Arabidopsis thaliana: one gene and its partners. The protein of the gene in region 4 interacts with the protein of the main gene of each other region in a pairwise test. Each region holds a gene or a part of one and is shown on either strand. Other genes may lie near its edges.

Region 1 (5,426 bases), 4.0 Mb from region 4:
AAACTCCACAGATATAGAACAAAAACTAAAATGATAACAATCCAATATGACATAACTTTGTTGCTCAATCAAAAGTTGACTCATAAAGTTTCATACTAGTTATGAGATTATCCGGTTAGAAGGAATCGCCGCAACAAAACTACAAAAGTAAAACCAAGTTTTAAGAAAAGTAAAACAAATCATAATGGGCTAATATGTTGATCAAATTCTGAGAAAGAAATTGAAATCTAATTGGGATAAATGGGCTTTCTGAAAAGTCTATATCACTCAGACCGTATCATTTTTTGAACATAGAGTTTTACTAAAACAAAAAATGCCACATGATCTAGAGAAGTGATCTAATTTGGCTCGATGGGCTATTTCGAACTTTGATTATGGTACATTAAAACTAGGAAAACGAAGATTATAAACAAAGACTGATATAGACCACACTTTGTCACATTGAGGTTATAGTTCAAACAAATTAATCGACGTGATACTGAAAATAAATACGAAATTTAAAAAAACAATATAATTGTTACGAAATTACATGAAGAGTAGCATATCCTTTAAAAGAAATTAAAGCATGCAATTCGATCAACTAATTACACATTTGGAGAAATATATAGAAACTGATACAACATGTACATTTAAAAACTCTTAAACGTGTTCCGGCGGAGGAGACGGTGCAGAAGCCACGCGCCGTCCACGCTCCGATCTACTATTCACGGCGAACTTCAAACTCCCTTCATGCATACCCTTTCGCTTCTCGGTCTCTGTCCACTCTTTCATGTAATAATACTCCTCCGTAGACTTCACTTCATCTTCCGTGGAAGGCAAAAACATGCTTCCCCATTGCGGGAAGTGCACTAAAGTGACGGGTAATGTACACGCCATAATCATCACCCCCATCCATGTCAGCCCTTGTTCCGTGGAGAACGTTGAGGTCGAGAAGAATACGAGTTGGGTCAAACCAGAGCCGAAGTTTCCACCAGCTCCAGTAAGACCAGAGATGATCCCTAAGGAGCGGCGTGAGATGAAAGGTATGATAGCAAAGGTAGCTCCACAAGCGGCTTGAGCGCCGAGAGAGAAGAGGATCATGAAGACAACCGCGGTCGGGAGCGTGGTGGCTCGGCCTAGCCATAGGCAGAAGAAACCGCCTAAGGTTTGGATGATCCATAGGGTCCAGAGACGGCCTCTCATGCCGAAGCGTCTAGCCGCAATATCTGAGGCCCAACCACCAATAGGACGGGCAAAGAAGTTTGCCATACCAAAGCTTGCCGCGATTATACCGGCGGTATGAAGCTTAAGATGGAACCTGAAAAATGATCGCCATGTATTGAGTCTTTGATCCATAGAAGTAATTTATATATTTAGGGTCTACTCGGTAACAAATAAATGAAATGTAAGTAGTGGATTTACAAAAACAGAAATGTAAAGAAAGCTTAACAAGAATCATTTTCATGAGTAGAATACATTTTTCAAAAATATATGTTTTTTGGCTAAAACATTGTGGTAGTAAATCGACATGCAAGGTATCAACAAATTTGAGTTTGAGTTTTACTGTCTACTACAATTAACACGCGGCATTGACGTTAATTAAATTGATTTTAATGGTTAGGAAAAAACCAAAATCCTTGTATATTGCAATAATAATAGTACTATATATGCTAAAAGCAATCAAACCCTTGTTATTATTGTTTATACTTTAGAGACTGACTGACTATGGATTCGATAAATTATATACCAGTTTTAATAATTATACCTGTCGAAAAAGTACTCAGCGATGACGTTATCGGTTGTGAGCTCTACTCCCATGGAGTATCCATATAGCAGCACGAAAACCCATGTCCTATAGTTCGTGATCGCGTACCATAAAACCTGGTTAATTTGTCCACCAGAAAACTGTGAGTCTTACTCTTAACCAAATAAAAAGATCTATAACAAAAAAAAAAAAGAGAAAACAAAAAATCTATGGAAGAGTATTATAAGGATTTCGCTTTTTCTATATGAAAACGTAATTGTTTTTTTTTTTTTTTTTTAGTTAGTCGAATCGCTTTCTTGGATTAATTTAATGTCTCTATCTAAATGTTAATCTAAGATCTATATCAGAACAACCTTCTTTATATATTCAATGAAAATAATATAATTTAGACAACGATCTGCAGACCCTAATATATAAGACTAAGAATCAAAGGATCCAAGAAGAATTAACATTTATTTTACTTAAGTACTAATAAAGTACCTTTGAGAACTTGTCTTTAGTAACTGCACCTTTCTTCTCGAGTGTGCTTCTATTACCATCAGGGAGGTCTTGCCCTAGAGTCAAGACCAAGATCCCCATGATGATGTGCATCCACCCGGGGACGAAGAAAGCCATCCTCCATGCGGTGAAGGACGTGGACCCTAACCGTCGGATGATCTCATAGACCATTGGCATGAGCAACTGAGTGACCCCACCGCCCATGTTCCCCCACCCTGCCGCTGTCCCGTTCACTAGACCTATGATCTGACCATTGAACATTGTGCTCATCCAATACTGGCATGACACGAAAGTCGCCAGGCAGAACCCGATCATGAACCTCACCGTTATGTACCTATATATGGCCAAAATATTGTTAGAAACCCACATTAAGAATAATCCATTATATAAACTACTTTCCTTATTGTCAATTAATTTTGAGATGAAATCCTTTGGTTTTTTAGAAAAATGCTTTTAAAATTGTTTCAATAACTGCATATCATATGTACATTAGTACATATATTTATATAGGACTAAGTGAAGTTAATCTTAAGTTTTTTGAGAAATTTTACAATTCACAAGAATGCTTACCCTCCGGCACCACCAACGAAAGACATGGAGAAGACGGTTGGAGCAGAGAGCATGACGAGGAAAGCACAGCCATAACGTGGCCCAAGGAGATCACAAACTGCTCCCATAACAAGCCTAGAGAAGATACTGCCAGAGACAGAAGCAACACCAGCATTTCCGACATCTTGTCTTGTGAGATTAAGGTTATCTCTAATGATGGGGACAAGAGGAGCAGCAGCGAAAGTGGAAATGAAGCAAGTGAAGAATGAGATCCAAGCAAGATGGAAAGTTCTCATATGTGGAGCTTCAAAGGATAAGAGTTTGAAGACTTTGGCTTTGTGTTCGGTGTCCACGGGGAGAGAAAATTTTGCTGATGAGTCGGAAGGAACTGCCGGAGACTCGACAGAGAATGCATAGCTTTGTTCTCTGCCGGTGACTCCATGCATTGAGCTTCCCGGTTCACCAAAACCATCGGCCATTTTGTGAATATTTTTTTATGTTTTTTTCTTGTGGTCTTGGTTTAGGGAACAAGAAGGAGAAGAATGGTTTTATATAGAGATACGAAAGTTGACTTCGTAAGAGCCGATGGAGATTCGAAAAGGCTATAAGTGGGATTCGTTTTACGTAAATGATACTATAATAGTATAGTTCTTAACGATAATTAATGATTCAAAGTTGTTTATGTGAGATTGATTACAATTATACAAGTTGTGTCTTTATATTAATAGTATGGAATATTCACTTTCGCCGCGAGCATGCAAACACGAGAATTTAGCCTGGTCATACGTCCCAAAGGTTCACTTTCACTTATATTCCAATTTAGTATTTATCAACAATATAATATTACTAAACTGTCCATATATCTAGGAAGTTTTTTTTTTTTTTTTTTTTCTCAAACGAGAAACTACTTTCTGGTTCTGTTTACAACGATTTCTTTTCATGTCTAATACAGCAAATCCTCATAGAGTTTACTATCAATATAATAAAGATCGGCGGTATAATTTGAAACTTTATATGTCGCAGCGCATGATGTAATCTCTTTTCTATATGATTCCTTTTCTTTCTAAGTTTTTTTTTCTCAGATAAAAAATAAATAACATAGTCTTACAGTTACAGAAAAAAAAAATCATGTTTACTTCTTAAAATCATTATTTAATATATAATTTTGTTTTGCTATGAATGTTAGTATCATGAAAATGAAATGTAAAGATATTACAAAAGAGCATTACCTAAAGAAAATTAACGATAAAAATCGTTAAACTTGGGTGAAGTAATTAAATCCAAAGAATCATGAGATTTTGGCATTTTGCCAACGCTTTTTGCGTTGCTGTGGTGGTATTTCGAACCTCGATCGATGTTTTCAGAGATTGTACCATGAGGCATTATCAACTGCGAGTTATCAAGTCTATTCTCTATTTAATAAGTTTATAATTATAGCTCCATACTCATGGAATAAATCCACGAATTTTTATTAGGTGATTTTCCTTGAAGTTTGTAAGCTTAACTACTACAGACTTCGGAGATTAATCTAAGAAAATTTCATTGTAATTTTTTTTTTCTTGGTAATGAGCTATTTCCACATGATGGGATGCAATAATCGATCCATATTTTTTTTTAAAAAGAGAAATAAAAATCAATCCATATTCATACATGTGAACGAGTCCGGTGGGTCCTCTCTCTCTCTATGTGACTATGTCTTTGCATGGATTCAAAGGTTCCATTTGATTTTTTTTTTTTTTTTGTTAATATAATAGAATGTTATTGAAATAAACAAAATAATATATAGATTTTCACTTATTAAACTAAAGTTGTGATGATGTAATCAGATCCCTAATTATGCTTAGGAAGATTGTAACAGCAATAACAGTTGTACCTTCACAAATAAAAACCTTTTTTGTCCTTAAGAAACTCCAGAGGAAACGTGCAACAGTGCTATTGTTTGATCTTGTTTACCTTTAACATTATATTAAGTCCATTATTCTTAATTCGTAATGAGTTAATGACTTTTATGTTTTGTGAACGAGAACTTTTTTCTAGTTAGCACTTTTGTGCTTTAGTTTTTTTTTTAAAAGAGAAATCTTCATTAAGATAAATATCTATTCCATAACTTATTTCGTATGTACATATTGTGGAATGATGAGTTTTGACGATCATTTGAAAGTAATTTCTGAAGAAACGAAGAAGCCAAAAACTATAAAAAGAATCTTAGGATTGTCAACTATAGTTAGCAACATGCTAGTTACGATGCCAGCAGATTTACAGGCGCTCACAAATAATTTTATGATTGTATATGTACCAAAATGTGAATCGTACGTGTCTATAAGACTAAAGTAGTGGCCCAACGATTCCAAGCCAGATTCTCTGGATTCCAATAGATTATTGAACTAAATTCGATGATGTCATCTTAATTATATTATTTTATCATCGAGTCCATCTTAAGTTGAAAGTTTTAAACTATTATATAGTACTATAAATCAATTATAGAATTAATTTACTGTTTTTCACTTAAAACGTTAAAAAAAAGAATGAAAAATAGAACCAACCTTAAGAAAGTGACATGAATCAGATTAACTCTAATATTATATTTGTTTGCAAACGCTCAATTATATAGAAATTTAAACTGGAGTCTTAGATG
Region 2 (4,724 bases), on a different chromosome or scaffold from region 4:
GGATCACTTTTGAAACTTTTACAATATAGGAATATATATTTCACTAGCTTATGCTAGAAGGACAATTAGCTAGAAATCTCGTGAAACAACCAAGTTTTTCTCTAAAATACTGGAGCTAACGATGGTTTATATGTATGTTTTTGATAACATTGTCAAATGTGATATAAATTAGTTAGATCTTGTTGTTGTGCATTAGCTTTTTGAATCGAATATAATATCACTAGAAATCTAGCAAGTTGCAACTACTTTTAAGAGAAAAACGTACACTTTATACAAGTCAAAGACCATCCCGATGAAAGATCAATGGTTACGAGTTTTTGTTTGACTTATCCCGCATTATTGGAATTTTCTTTACCTATAAAGATAGGACTTTTCTTTACTTGGTTACGTAAAATGCACCAAAAAAAAAGAAGACAAAAGAATTAAAGAAACATGTTCTTTACCTATAATTCACTACAAACTATTAAACTAAATAAATGACAAAATGATATAAATTTTTTTAACAAATGCATCAATCTGTATGGACTAACTAAAATTATAGTAATTATTAGGCTATTCATAAAAAACAAATTGAGTTTTTAATATTCAATATAGTGACATAGTGTGTAACAAACTAATTAATAAAGATTATCTAGATGGTACGGGGATCGAGGAATATGTAAGAAAGATAACTTATCGCTACATTCAATTCATTTGATAACTTTCAAAAGCTGATGTTACTTGTTTCGTTCTTTTTGGTTGCCAAAATTTTGCTCTCTGCAATTTTAGTTTTTTTTCTAAAATATGAGTTTACGTTCCAAATAAGAAATGATCGACCTTGTTTTAAACCCCCAAAAATAAATAAAGATCAAGAGATTTTCATATCTTATGGTATTATTGGGTAATTGAAAGCAAAAAAAAAAAAATGAATTTTTGAATAAAGTTGATACAACTATTTCCAAAAGTAAAATTAATTTGATGAGTCGACCACATGGAATACACAAAAGACAAACTGCAATTATTTTTAGAAGAATGAGCTTTTTACAATGAACCGTACGATCTCATAGTCTCATTGACCTTTGGTTGATGTCAAATGTCAAACATTTGTCTCTCCATAAAGATATTCTTGTACTTAGATGACTCTATAACAAAAAAATAAAAAGAATAAGAAGATATTCTCGTAAATTAACAATATTTATATATAATGTATAAGTATAACCATTAAACAAAAAGATCAACAATATTTTCAAAATATTATAGTAAGCTGGAAACATCAATGCATTAGGTAAGACACATGCATGTTGTACATTAGCTACGGATGCGCAAAATGGACGCTAAGCCGGCGGTGAAAGAGACACGTTGTTCTTCTGCATTTTATTCCATTCGTACGTAATAGTTAATTCTATAAAGTTATATAATGTTTCGACTTGATAGAGATATGGTACAAGTAGTCAATGAAACGTATTTTCTAATTAAGTTAAGTTATAAACATTTTAATAGTAAATGGAGCACGTAATTTGCATTATGCAAAAACACACATATGCTTAGTTCTAATAGGATATTCTCTTTTCCGAATGAACTATTTTTGGAGCGGTGGACTTTTTTTTTTTATTAACCGATATTAATTAGATAAAATTTAGGAGAGCCATTCATAATAATGTTATTTATATATGTTATATGATGCAGTTCGGTATAGATTTTTCGTGTCAAATTGTCCGTTTTGATATTTGCACTACGAAAGATTAAAGATAAAGAAAAGCTAGTGAACTTTCTCTTATCGTTTCGTAATTTTTCTTCTGATCATTCGGTTATACGTGAACTTTCTCTTATCCTTCGTAATTTTTCTTCTGATAATTCGGTTAGAGAAAATATATACTATCTTCGACCCTCAACACAGTTTATTAACAAAATATATAAATAAATCAGGACTTTTTTTTTTTTTTTGCTATTGAAAACGTTTGCAAAAACCTACAAAGAGACTACATCTAAAATGTACAAGAGACTTTACATATTGATTGTTTTCTACCAATAAATTTCGTAATACTATTTCACCAAAAAAAAAATTAAAACAAAAAGCCATCGCTCATTTCATTTCACGTAGTATTATTCAACTCTTATTATTGGATCCACCTAACCGTACCCACCAAAAATCTCTATAAATACTATGCAACTCATCTTCTCCAACTTACACCAAAAACAGAAAACAACAAAGGCCACAAAGAAGAAGAAAACCTTCTTCAACGTTTAAAGTCTCTTCTCTCTCTCTCTCTTAACTTCTCCCATTTTCTTTGAACTAAAGATCAATGGCTCACAACCATTCTAATGAAGACGGCTCTATTGGAACCTCCTTGCATGGAGTCACGGCAAGGGAGCAAGTCTTCTCCTTCTCCGTCCAAGAAGATGTCCCTTCATCTCAAGCCGTCCGAACAAACGATCCAACGGCTAAGTTTGCCCTACCAGTGGACTCCGAACATAGGGCAAAAGTGTTCAAACCACTATCATTCGCTAAACCACATATGAGAGCCTTCCACTTAGGATGGATCTCTTTCTTCACTTGCTTCATCTCCACCTTCGCAGCCGCACCTCTAGTCCCCGTCATTCGCGACAATCTCGACCTGACCAAAACCGACATCGGAAATGCTGGAGTTGCATCAGTTTCCGGCGCCATTTTCTCGAGACTCGCTATGGGTGCTGTATGTGACCTTCTAGGGGCACGTTATGGAACCGCCTTCTCACTTATGCTTACAGCTCCAGCAGTTTTCTCCATGTCGTTCGTAGCTGACGCGGGAAGCTACTTAGCCGTAAGGTTCATGATCGGTTTTTGCTTAGCAACGTTCGTATCATGTCAGTACTGGACGAGTGTTATGTTCACTGGAAAGATTATCGGACTCGTTAACGGATGTGCTGGAGGGTGGGGAGATATGGGAGGAGGAGTGACTCAGCTACTAATGCCAATGGTCTTCCACGTCATCAAACTCACCGGAGCCACTCCCTTCACGGCTTGGAGGTTCGCCTTCTTCATCCCCGGCATTCTTCAGATAGTTATGGGTATTCTCGTTCTCACTCTCGGCCAAGATCTTCCCGATGGTAACCTCAGTACTCTCCAAAAGAGTGGTCAAGTTTCTAAAGACAAATTCTCCAAGGTAATATATTAAACATGATCAATATTTTTAGGACAATACTAGCAATAATGCATGTGGTTCTAATTACAATTTTGTTTTGTTTAATAGGTCTTTTGGTTCGCTGTGAAAAACTATAGAACATGGATCTTATTCATGCTCTATGGATTTTCTATGGGAGTTGAATTAACGATCAACAACGTTATATCTGGATACTTCTACGATAGGTTTAACCTTACGCTTCACACAGCTGGTATTATAGCAGCCAGCTTTGGTATGGCAAACTTCTTTGCCCGTCCTTTTGGTGGCTACGCTTCAGATGTAGCTGCACGGCTCTTCGGTATGAGGGGACGGTTATGGATCTTGTGGATCTTACAAACTGTTGGAGCTCTCTTTTGCATCTGGCTTGGTCGTGCTAGTTCACTACCTATAGCTATCTTAGCCATGATGCTTTTTTCCATGGGCACACAAGCTGCTTGTGGAGCTCTCTTTGGTGTTGCTCCTTTTGTTTCCCGCCGTTCTCTTGGACTTATCTCGGGATTAACTGGTGCTGGTGGAAATTTTGGGTCGGGAGTTACTCAACTTCTTTTCTTCTCTTCCTCGAGGTTTAGTACGGCGGAAGGACTATCGTTGATGGGCGTTATGGCTGTTGTGTGCTCTCTTCCGGTTGCGTTTATACATTTTCCGCAGTGGGGAAGCATGTTCTTGAGGCCATCACAAGATGGAGAGAAATCAAAGGAAGAGCATTACTATGGAGCGGAATGGACAGAGGAAGAGAAGAGCTTAGGACTACACGAAGGAAGCATTAAATTTGCTGAAAACAGCCGGTCAGAGAGAGGCCGCAAGGCGATGTTGGCTGATATTCCAACGCCGGAAACCGGATCTCCGGCTCATGTCTAGTGAAGGATAGTCACATTACATCTTTTTCCACATATAAATAACCCTCAAACTTAGCTTTATGTTTGCATGTTTTATGTTCCTCTTATGAGAGATGTACCGAGTAAGATCCTGACTTGATAAGTGAGGTTCAGTGAGCTCGGTGCTCATGATGTACAATGTCGTTTGATATAAGACTTATGCATCAGTTTTCTCTCTGTTTTATCAACAAGCCGTGTCTTTAAAAGTCTTCCAAGATCATATTATTGATTTAACAAAATCGATCAAATACTGAAAATGAGAAGAGTGTTTTGAGGCACAACTAGTCATACCTTAAGAAGAAGCAATTGACTTTAGTAATCTTTACGTCTCAGAAACAGATCACATTAAAGAATCTGGAAAGAGTAAGAAGCAACTTAACTAGTATGACAGGTGAAGATTGCAAATGTAAAACTTAAAGTTGTATGAAAGTTTTCAAACATTGCAGAATCTTTCATAAATGAAACAAAACAAGAAAGCTATGCTAAACCTTTGAATCGGTTTCTGAAGAAAAGAGTTTAACGTACTTGTAAACTCTGCGTAAGGAGCTAGATGCTTGTCTTTCCACTACCACCACATATCATACAAGATCTCGTGGAAGAACATTTAGTGCAATAGCTCCATTTCTTGGGAAGCCTAAGAATGTGTGTTTATCGACAATCAATGAACGAATATCGATGAGATTGGAGCGAAAGAACACCGAGGGAGTTA
Region 3 (4,827 bases), on a different chromosome or scaffold from region 4:
AGATGCGTTTTAGAAAGGCATTTAGATACAAATATCCGGATGAATTTGTGTTAAAATAAATATTTTATCAGTTCTAAAACTTTCTGCACATACAAAACAAACCAGTTCTAAACCTGTAAAAATATTTCCTGTTTGAGAGCAATAATTTCGAGATCATGTTTAGACTCATCAAAATGGTACCAAAATAAAAGTTCAGAATTTATAATCATTGAGGATCCTATTGATTACAAGGTCAATTTGATAGGTTTTACGGACGGTTAACTATTGTGATGACTATATTGTGTACAAGGAGTACCAGGATGATGAACTTTGGAAGTCAAAAGAATTGCCAACTAAGGGGTTTAGAGCAAACTATTGAAATTATCTCCAATTAATATCCTATTGAAACATCAACAACATGGAAACTCAGCACTGCCAAAGCTACCATTCTCAACATCTATATCCCACAATACTCACTTTTCCTACTTTCCAACTGACGAAATAAACGCCAAATGAAAACTACATACACTGGATTTCTACTTCTACGTGAGTTTGATATAGGGATCAGAGATAATAAGAAATCAGACAATTTAGTAGTTGGTCACCTCTCAAGGCTAAGTATAAAGTAAATGTCATGATCATTTCTTAACCCTACCTTCGCCCACCTTACCAACTTAAGGGATACAATGATAGTCTTTATTGTGCGGTGTAATTCTTTAATGAATTGAACAAAGGAGTTTCCAGTTCCAATATTATCAAATCATTAATGATATATGCAAAATAATCAAATCTCAAGACATAGAGATATATTTTGATATATAATAAAAAGATTTCAAGGCAAAAAGCAAAAGGTTTGTTTAGTAAATGAAAGATAGATAGTAATGTTATGCAAGCATTGATAACATTTGCATTTTTTTTTTTCACTGTGTGACATATTCTTATATGCGATCATCCTTCACCATTCCACCGTGGGTGGAATGTATGATCAAACATTGTTGGGTGTGTTCTCAGGCGGCGTAGCAGCAGAGCGGACGCGGCGTCCACCCTCTGACTTGGCGTTCTCGGCAAACCGGAGGCTTCCTTGATGCATGTTCTTCTGCTTCTCCTGCTCATTCCACTCAGAACCATAATAATGAGCCTCTGTACCTTTCACTGGATCTGTGGAAGGAGGCAAGAACATGCTTCCCCATTGAGGAAAGTGAACTAAGGTCACAGGTAACGTGCAAGCGACTATCATCACTCCCATCCACGTTAGCCCTTGTTCAGTTGTGAAGTGTGAGGTCGAGAAGAAGAGGAGTTGTGTGAGCCCTGATCCAAAGTTCCCTCCAGCCCCGGTTAAACCCGAGATGATGCCTAGAGCTCGCCGGGAGACAAAGGGCACAATTGCAAAGGTGGCTCCGCAAGCAGCTTGTGCCCCCATAGAGAAGAGCACCATAGCCACAACGGCAGTTACAAGGGTGTTGGCGCGGCCGAGCCACACACAGAAGAGGCCACCAGCCGTCTGTATGATCCACAACGTCCACAACCTCCCTCTCATCCCGAAGTACTTGGCTGCAAAGTCAGATGCGTAGCCTCCTGCTGGACGAGCAAAGAAATTGGCCATTCCGAAACATGCTGCTATGAGCCCTGCTGTGTGGAGCTTCAAGTGAAACCTGGACAAACCATGTATGATGTATACATTAGTTTTACTCTTATGTTATAATTTAATTCTTCTATTTTCCAATCGAGATCAAAAACAAACCTGTCAAAGAAGTACTCGGCGATAACATTATCAGTGCTCAACTCAACTCCCATGGAGTATCCGTAGAGAAGAACGAAGATCCAAGTCCTGTAGTTTGTAACGGCATACCACAGAATCTACAACATTTATACGATATCACGAGTTAATCTTTTGATCCATCTGTAACATAAGCAGCCTAAATTATTAAGGAATATATATTTATATAGATAAATATACCTTTCCGAATTTGTCTTTGGCAACTTCTCCCGCTTTCTCCAAGGTAGCTCGATTTCCATCTGGCAGATCTTGACCTAGATTGAGCACCAAGATTCCCATGATGATGTGCAACCAACCGGGTACAAAGAAGGCGATCCTCCAGGCCGTGAAGGCTGTGGAACCGCAGCGCCTAATGATTTCATACACAATGGGCATGAGCAACTGCGTTATGCCGCCACCCATGTTTCCCCATCCGGCTGCTGTCCCATTCACCAGACCAATGATCTGACTGTTGAACATAGTGCTCATCCAGTATTGACAAGACACAAACGTCGCCAGGCAAAAACCAATCATGAACCTCACCGTTATGAAGCCTGCTGCGTCACTCACGAAGCTCATGGAGAACACCGTTGGGGCAGACAACATCACAAGGAAGGCACAACCGTAACGGGGACCCAAAAGATCACACACGGCTCCCATCACGAGCCTAGAGAAGATACTCCCAGAGACAGAGGCAACTCCGGCGTTTCCAATGTCTTGTTTGGTGAGGTTGAGATTCTCCCGGATGATAGGGACAAGTGGTGCAGCTGCGAAAGTCGAGACAAAACATGTGGAGAAAGAGATCCACGAGAGATGGAACGTTCTCATGTGAGGTTTGGCGAAGGAGAAGAGCTTGAAAACCGTTGCCTTATGCTCTGTGTCCACCGGAAGGTCGAACTTGGCCGTCTTGTCGGTATGCACAATTGGTGATTGCACCGAGAAAGCAAAGCTTTGTTCTCTACCGGTGACTCCATGCATGGAGCTCCCCGGCTCACCAGTAGAATCACCCATTGTTATAAAATATTTCAAGTTTCTTTGCAAGTTTGAGATTTGATTCAAGTTTATTTGATCGATGTCTGAATATTAATCACACGATGGCTTATATAGGGTTCCTAGCCAGTGTTGACAATGAAAAAAGCATTCTTTGGAGATTCTCAACGGTTAACTATCGATTTAAATATTAATTTTCGAGGAATCCATTTTCGCCGCAAGCATCTTCCTAGTCTCTCGCTTATCACCAAAGGTTGCCGATATCCTTCCAAATGACCGCTCTACCCTTCCCTCATCTTGCGATTTAATGATTTATGGATGGATAGTCAACAATATGGTTGTGTTAGTAATAAAACTATCATTATTATTATCATAGAAACATGTATCCGTCAAATTGCGTGGAAACCAAACATAAGTCTGGTTACATACAGTGATACAGGATAGGCTAATTGTTTTTTTCCTCTTCTTTTCTTAAGGTTTAAAAGTTTGGTCCTCTTTCACCAAGTCATAACCTGGACACTTAATTTGAACTGCTGTAACAGCATGACTGCATGAGTTATCATTTAGGCTACGTAAGTAACGGCGACGATATTTTCTATATGAATGGTTACTAGTCTATGATCCTAATTAATTATGGAGGGTTATCTTTGTCATTGTAACTGTGAATAGTTTTTTTTGTTTTGTTTTGGTAATAAATAGTATTCACAAAAGGGGAAGATGATCCTTTAGTGAATAAACTAATTGATCTCCTTGGCGGTCGGATTTAGAGTGGCCTTAGCTGCACATTAGTTGTCTCTTCAAATTGCTTACGATTGCATATATAGGACTTTTAGTAGAACTATTTTATTGATTTCATATGTCATTTTCGGTGTGAAAAATTGAAATCGTTGATTAAGGAAAAACACATAGTTAAATATCAATATCGTGTGTGTACATGTCTTCATCTAAACCCTAGATACGTATGTCAATGTATATGTGATGGTGAAAATATCTATTTTAACATTAAAAAGAACAAAAAAATTACTAGTGTTAAACACACCAAAAAAAAACTTTAGAACAAAGAAAAACGGCAAACTAAATAAAACAGTATGATATACATATATTATTATAGAAACATATCTAGTTAACGATTAAGAGTTTTATTTTAGTCATTTAGATTTTCGTAGTAGCTAGCGGATCTGAATTTTTGAAAAGGTCTTGAAAATATCATAGAGTAGATTAGACGGTGCGGTGGATTGATATGTAGATATGCGTATAATTAGAATGTGGTTGCACGCAAATTTCCGTACTCTTGTAGCGATGGGTATTTGAAAAAGTCAAACGACTAAGTGCGTATCGATCAATCTCGCTGACGTGTCAAATTTCCAACAAGTTGGGATTTGATAAAAGACAAAAATTTCATGTCTAAATTGTGAAAAAGTCAACTATTTCGATGAGCTCATTATCTTTTCTCCATTAAATGTGTGTACATTCCTTAAATAATCTGACACATATGTGTACCGGACAAAAGAGAATCCTATAATTATAATGTGATTATCAACACGTCAGAGAAATTAATAATGATTATCCATGATATTACCTCATTAATTTAAATTAAAGTACAGAATTACACATTATGATTTATATATTTAACTACAATTCAAAGATTCTTTTTCATTTTTAAAATTACTGTAAGGAAAATAAATAAATTAGATTAGAAATATATAAATAGAAAGAAGTTTTCTAATTACAAAATGAAGTATGAACTTTAATGTCATCCAGTTTATTATAATACCAGCGTTTAGTAATAATGTTTTTCACTGACCGATAAAAGAAGTCGTAAGATGTTTATCCAGTTTATTTACTTTTTGAATGACATCAAGTTATTAAGCCAAATGACATGCATGGTTTTATTAGTTTGAACATAAAAACCAACAAATTAAGGATCTTCGGAACAGTGATGTAATGCTCAAAATTCATTTGCTTGTATTCGAAACCCAAAATTACCGACATGAGGAAGAAAAAAAAAAAAAAGGCAGCGAGCCACGTAATTATCTCCCAAAAACTAGAGGATAAGTGAGTTTTAGGGCTACGTTTATTCGTGAAGGAACCACTTTGTAAAC
Region 4 (4,210 bases):
TGAAGAGTTTGGCTAAGATCTTGTTGCCGCAGAGTCACTATATATGCTTGCAACCATAATAAAAAAAAAGAGGATCATTTAAGATTGATCACTATGACAATTTTATCGATGTTAATTATGAACCTTCTTATAGAGTTACCTGAGTTTTATTTAGGTTTAGACCAAGCAACTTCCCATCGATCTGAACACAAGTAAAAAAAAAGTAAAGAAAGCTTTTGAATATGTACATACATCAGATCCAAGGGACACCATGTTTCTTACATTTTCAAGCTTTGAGCCAAGTTCCGCGACTTTCTTTTCTGCGATTTCAGCTCGAGTTTCCACTTCCAGACTTCTCTTGCGTTGCATTTCCACTTCTTCTCGTAGTTCAAGTATCTGCCAATGCAGAACTAAATTGAGGTAACAAAACAAGAAGGAAATACACACCTCAAACTACAAAACACCAACCTGTTTCTGAAGTTCATAAGCCGTTCCTTCTGCTTCACTGGATTCTCAGTCTAAATAAAAAAGCATCAACAGCAACAAAAGTGTAAATAAGTTTCTTCTATACATAACAATTTTGAATACATGAACCAAAGATTAATTAAAAATATCACTTGAAGAGATCCAACCACATCAAAGATGATGCAGCTTGAGTAATTGTTAACTCTTTCCAACTTTGGAAAGAGACAAAACGTCAAAGTGATTTCCAGAAACAGAGAACGGAAGCTCAAAAGTCTCTCTTGTGCCAAATATATTAAACCCTAAAAAATTCAACTTCTATCCGAATTTCTCAGAAACAAAACAAAGACACATAACTTCATATGAAATTCCAGTGAACGGTTACCTGAGGAAGAACCTTATTTGTTATCAGTGTAAAATAACAGAGAAGAGGTACGAGTAAAAGAAACAAAAGTGACTTAGGAAACGCCATTGTTGGAGACTGCTCACTGGAAGATAGAGAGTCGTGAGAGACAGTGATAAAGCGTATCAAGTCATATAGAGGGTCTTCTTATCTTTTTCTTTAACATGTGAGGGTTGAGTTAATTATGCGGGCTGATTATAGAGTTTTTAAATTGAATTTACGATTGTTTTTTTCTTACATATAAATGCAATCTATATTTGTGTTCGGAATAACCCATCTAATATTACTCCATGTATTAAACTAAAATATTTTGCATGTTTTGGTAGATCAACTTTTTGAATGATCACAGACCTACAAACATCAACCCTCTAATTATCCAATTTTACCATAATCCACGAGCTCTTAAAATTCATTTTTAATATATATAATTAAAATAGTTCAAACAGTTTAAACTTTGTGACCAAGTTAAAATATTTAAAATAGTTTGACTTTGTGATCAACATATTTAAATATAATCAATATTTTCATTTTTAAGCCGGAAAATCACGTCTTACAAATATATTTCTGATAGACACACCTATAATTCCAAAATTTTGACTTTTAAAACAAACAAAAAAAAATCTCATTAATACCACTACATACGTTTTTACAAAAATACCATTAAAAGATATTTTTTCAAATACTAAAAAAAACTAAAACTAAACTTTAAACCTATAAAACACTAAATCCTATAAAGTTTATATTCGAGTATAAACCTTAAAAGTTCAACCCTAAATCCTGAAAGCAAGACCCTAAACCCAAACTCAAACTTTTAAATTATAAATCCTTAAACAAAATCATTTTTAGTCTTTATGGTATTTTTAGAGTTAACAGTTTGTAGTTGTATTTTTGAAAAAAAAACACTAGTGATAGGTTTTTAGAATAAAAACTTAATTTAGTGGTATTGAGGATATTTCTCTAATAAAAATTATTCACAAAAAATATGTATTAAAGCAAAGTGCTATGCTTATTCCATGCAATCTTTTTTGAAAAAAAAAATATTTTCTAACCGATTAGTATATCTTCTAGAGGATTCATAGAAAAAGAGGATACAATTACAATATGTAGAGTATCTTATAGGTGACGTAACCATGAAATATAGAATTCTTTGGAATCTGAAACTGAATTATTCAGTTGATAAATGATAAAACAAATACTCATATCTCATCCTTTGGCATGTTTAGGAGCCATCTCTCAGCTGGACGGAGACAACACAGACACTTGTGCCAGAGAGGGAACACAATCTTCCCAAGTCTTCGAAAGGGTAATCTCAGACCAAACCGTTGACTTTGTTCTCATTAATTGTTTATGCTAAACCACAAGATATTTGGATCAAAAGTATTACCATAAATCACTATATAAAGACATAAATGTGCACCCCACTTTTCTTATCAATCATAAAAGTCAGCAAAACACAAGGCATATTCCTCTTCTCTTCCTCAGCCTTATTTTTCTGATATTCAGTTTCAAGGATATATCCATGGCGATCCAGAAGATCCTCTTTGCTTCACTTCTCATATGCTCACTGATCCAATCCATCCACGGGGCGGAAAAAGTAAGACTCTTCAAAGAGCTGGACAAAGGTGCACTTGATGTCACCACTAAACCCAGCCGAGAAGGACCAGGTGTTGGTATGTATAATTCTCTTCAAAACATCTATCATTTGCTACTTCATTAGCCATGCCTTATAAATGTGCGATTTTGCTCTAATACCATGTTAGATTTTAAAGCTTTATGAATGTTAAGACAAATTTTTATGAGTGTTGGAAACATTAGTTCTCTTTAGTCGTTTATTACAACATCATTAGATCTTATCCTATTAATTAGAATTACTTAGAATTAAGTGATATGAATGATAGTATGATCTAATATCAATTTACAAGAATAAGTTGGAATTAATATTTTGAATGTTTGGTCTTTAGTTTTGGATGCCGGCAAGGATACGTTGAACATTACATGGACGCTAAGCTCGATTGGGTCTAAAAGAGAGGCTGAATTTAAGATCATCAAAGTTAAGCTATGCTACGCTCCACCTAGCCAAGTTGACCGACCATGGCGCAAAACCCATGACGAGCTCTTCAAAGACAAGACCTGCCCACACAAGATCATAGCCAAGCCTTATGACAAAACACTTCAATCAACTACTTGGACTCTTGAGCGTGACATCCCCACCGGAACCTACTTCGTTCGTGCCTACGCGGTTGATGCCATTGGCCATGAAGTTGCCTATGGACAGAGCACCGACGATGCCAAGAAAACCAATCTCTTCAGCGTTCAGGCTATCAGTGGCCGCCACGCGTCCCTAGATATTGCCTCCATCTGTTTCAGTGTCTTCTCCGTCGTGGCTCTTGTCGTCTTCTTTGTCAATGAGAAGAGGAAGGCCAAGATAGAGCAAAGCAAATGAGTCGTTTACTTTGCGTATTTGTGACGTTGAACCCAAAAAAAGTTGACTTTGAACTTTCTTGTTTACCAATTCCTTTTGTCTTGTTGCACACTTCTTCTTTCTTATATGCTTTTATTTATGTGTTTGTACAATTAAGCCATTGATATGGAACAAAACTAATCCTACGGTGGTGATGCGTTTGTGTGCTTTATATATTTTTTATACACCTTTTGATATATTCTTACACACTTTTTTCACAAAGATTGATATTTGCATAATTTGTGGTAATCATTCTCAAAATACGGTATATATACTTCACCTCTTACTTTCAAAGAGAAATCATAAGTATAACTAAGCAATAATTCTATATATAGGGAATTATGATATAAAATTTATCCAAATTTTCAAAATATTAAACAAATATCTAACAAGTACCTAAAAATTTAAAATTTCAAGAAATGAATGGAGTATAATAAAGGTTCCTATAATAAAAGCTGGAAAAAAAATGTAGTATAACAAAATAACAATACGTGACTTTTTTTTTTGTCGTCACAAAACATAACTTTTAAATGCAAAATGGAACTTTGTAATATGAAAAGTTGTAAAGAGATTGAAAGACACCATTAACGTTTGTCGTCTAAGCCTTGATATGCTAAAAGTGATAAGCATGATGAATTGCTGACAGCGATCCCGATCATCATTAAGATTAGGTTGTCATCAAGATCTAGTTTGGGGTTACTCAAAATGTCAAACATGTCGACACATAATAAGTTTACTATATTTGTAACTATATACTAGTAATAGATGCACTGAGGTCAGCCAATGTGAGTGTGATTATAATAATACTAATACGCAAATGCATACGTACAATACTGAGGCTTAAATGTGAATACAGCTTTCGTCAAAAAGTTTAATATTTCGTTCATGCAAAACTCATTGTTATG

The links.
Region 1: the proteins of WR3 (region 4) and NRT2.4 interact in a two-hybrid assay, tested with the Arabidopsis thaliana proteins (one study listed by BioGRID).
Region 2: the proteins of WR3 (region 4) and NRT2.6 interact in a two-hybrid assay, tested with the Arabidopsis thaliana proteins (one study listed by BioGRID).
Region 3: the proteins of WR3 (region 4) and NRT2:1 interact in a two-hybrid assay, tested with the Arabidopsis thaliana proteins (one study listed by BioGRID).

What each region holds. Positions count from the first base shown.
Region 1 is NC_003076.8:24,442,240-24,447,665, reverse strand, and holds NRT2.4 (nitrate transporter 2.4), read right to left. Parts: upstream 3,302-5,426; 5' UTR 3,271-3,301; coding exon 2,813-3,270; intron 2,577-2,812; coding exon 2,225-2,576; intron 1,861-2,224; coding exon 1,745-1,860; intron 1,298-1,744; coding exon 640-1,297; 3' UTR 539-639; downstream 1-538.
Region 2 is NC_003074.8:16,476,945-16,481,668, reverse strand, and holds NRT2.6 (high affinity nitrate transporter 2.6), read left to right. Parts: upstream 1-2,109; 5' UTR 2,110-2,282; coding exon 2,283-3,122; intron 3,123-3,209; coding exon 3,210-3,998; 3' UTR 3,999-4,108; downstream 4,109-4,724. Other genes in the region: AT3G45050 (uncharacterized protein), read right to left, coding at 4,562-4,649. UniProt on the Arabidopsis thaliana protein: Involved in high-affinity nitrate transport. Required for the nitrate uptake-independent plant growth promotion and lateral root response to the rhizospheric Phyllobacterium.
Region 3 is NC_003070.9:2,522,058-2,526,884, reverse strand, and holds NRT2:1 (nitrate transporter 2:1), read right to left. Parts: upstream 2,863-4,827; 5' UTR 2,747-2,862; coding exon 1,937-2,746; intron 1,837-1,936; coding exon 1,721-1,836; intron 1,632-1,720; coding exon 965-1,631; 3' UTR 563-964; downstream 1-562. UniProt on the Arabidopsis thaliana protein: Involved in nitrate transport, but does not seem to be able to mediate transport by its own. Acts as a dual component transporter with NTR3.1. Acts as a repressor of lateral root initiation under high sucrose/low nitrate conditions.
Region 4 is NC_003076.8:20,434,249-20,438,458, forward strand, and holds WR3 (nitrate transmembrane transporter), read left to right. Parts: upstream 1-1,931; 5' UTR 1,932-2,059; coding exon 2,060-2,061; exon of another isoform or gene 2,062-2,147; intron 2,148-2,177; exon of another isoform or gene 2,178-2,363; coding exon of another isoform or gene 2,364-2,365; coding exon 2,366-2,514; intron 2,515-2,805; coding exon 2,806-3,287; 3' UTR 3,288-3,478; downstream 3,479-4,210. UniProt on the Arabidopsis thaliana protein: Acts as a dual component transporter with NTR2.1. Required for high-affinity nitrate transport. Acts as a repressor of lateral root initiation. May be involved in targeting NRT2 proteins to the plasma membrane.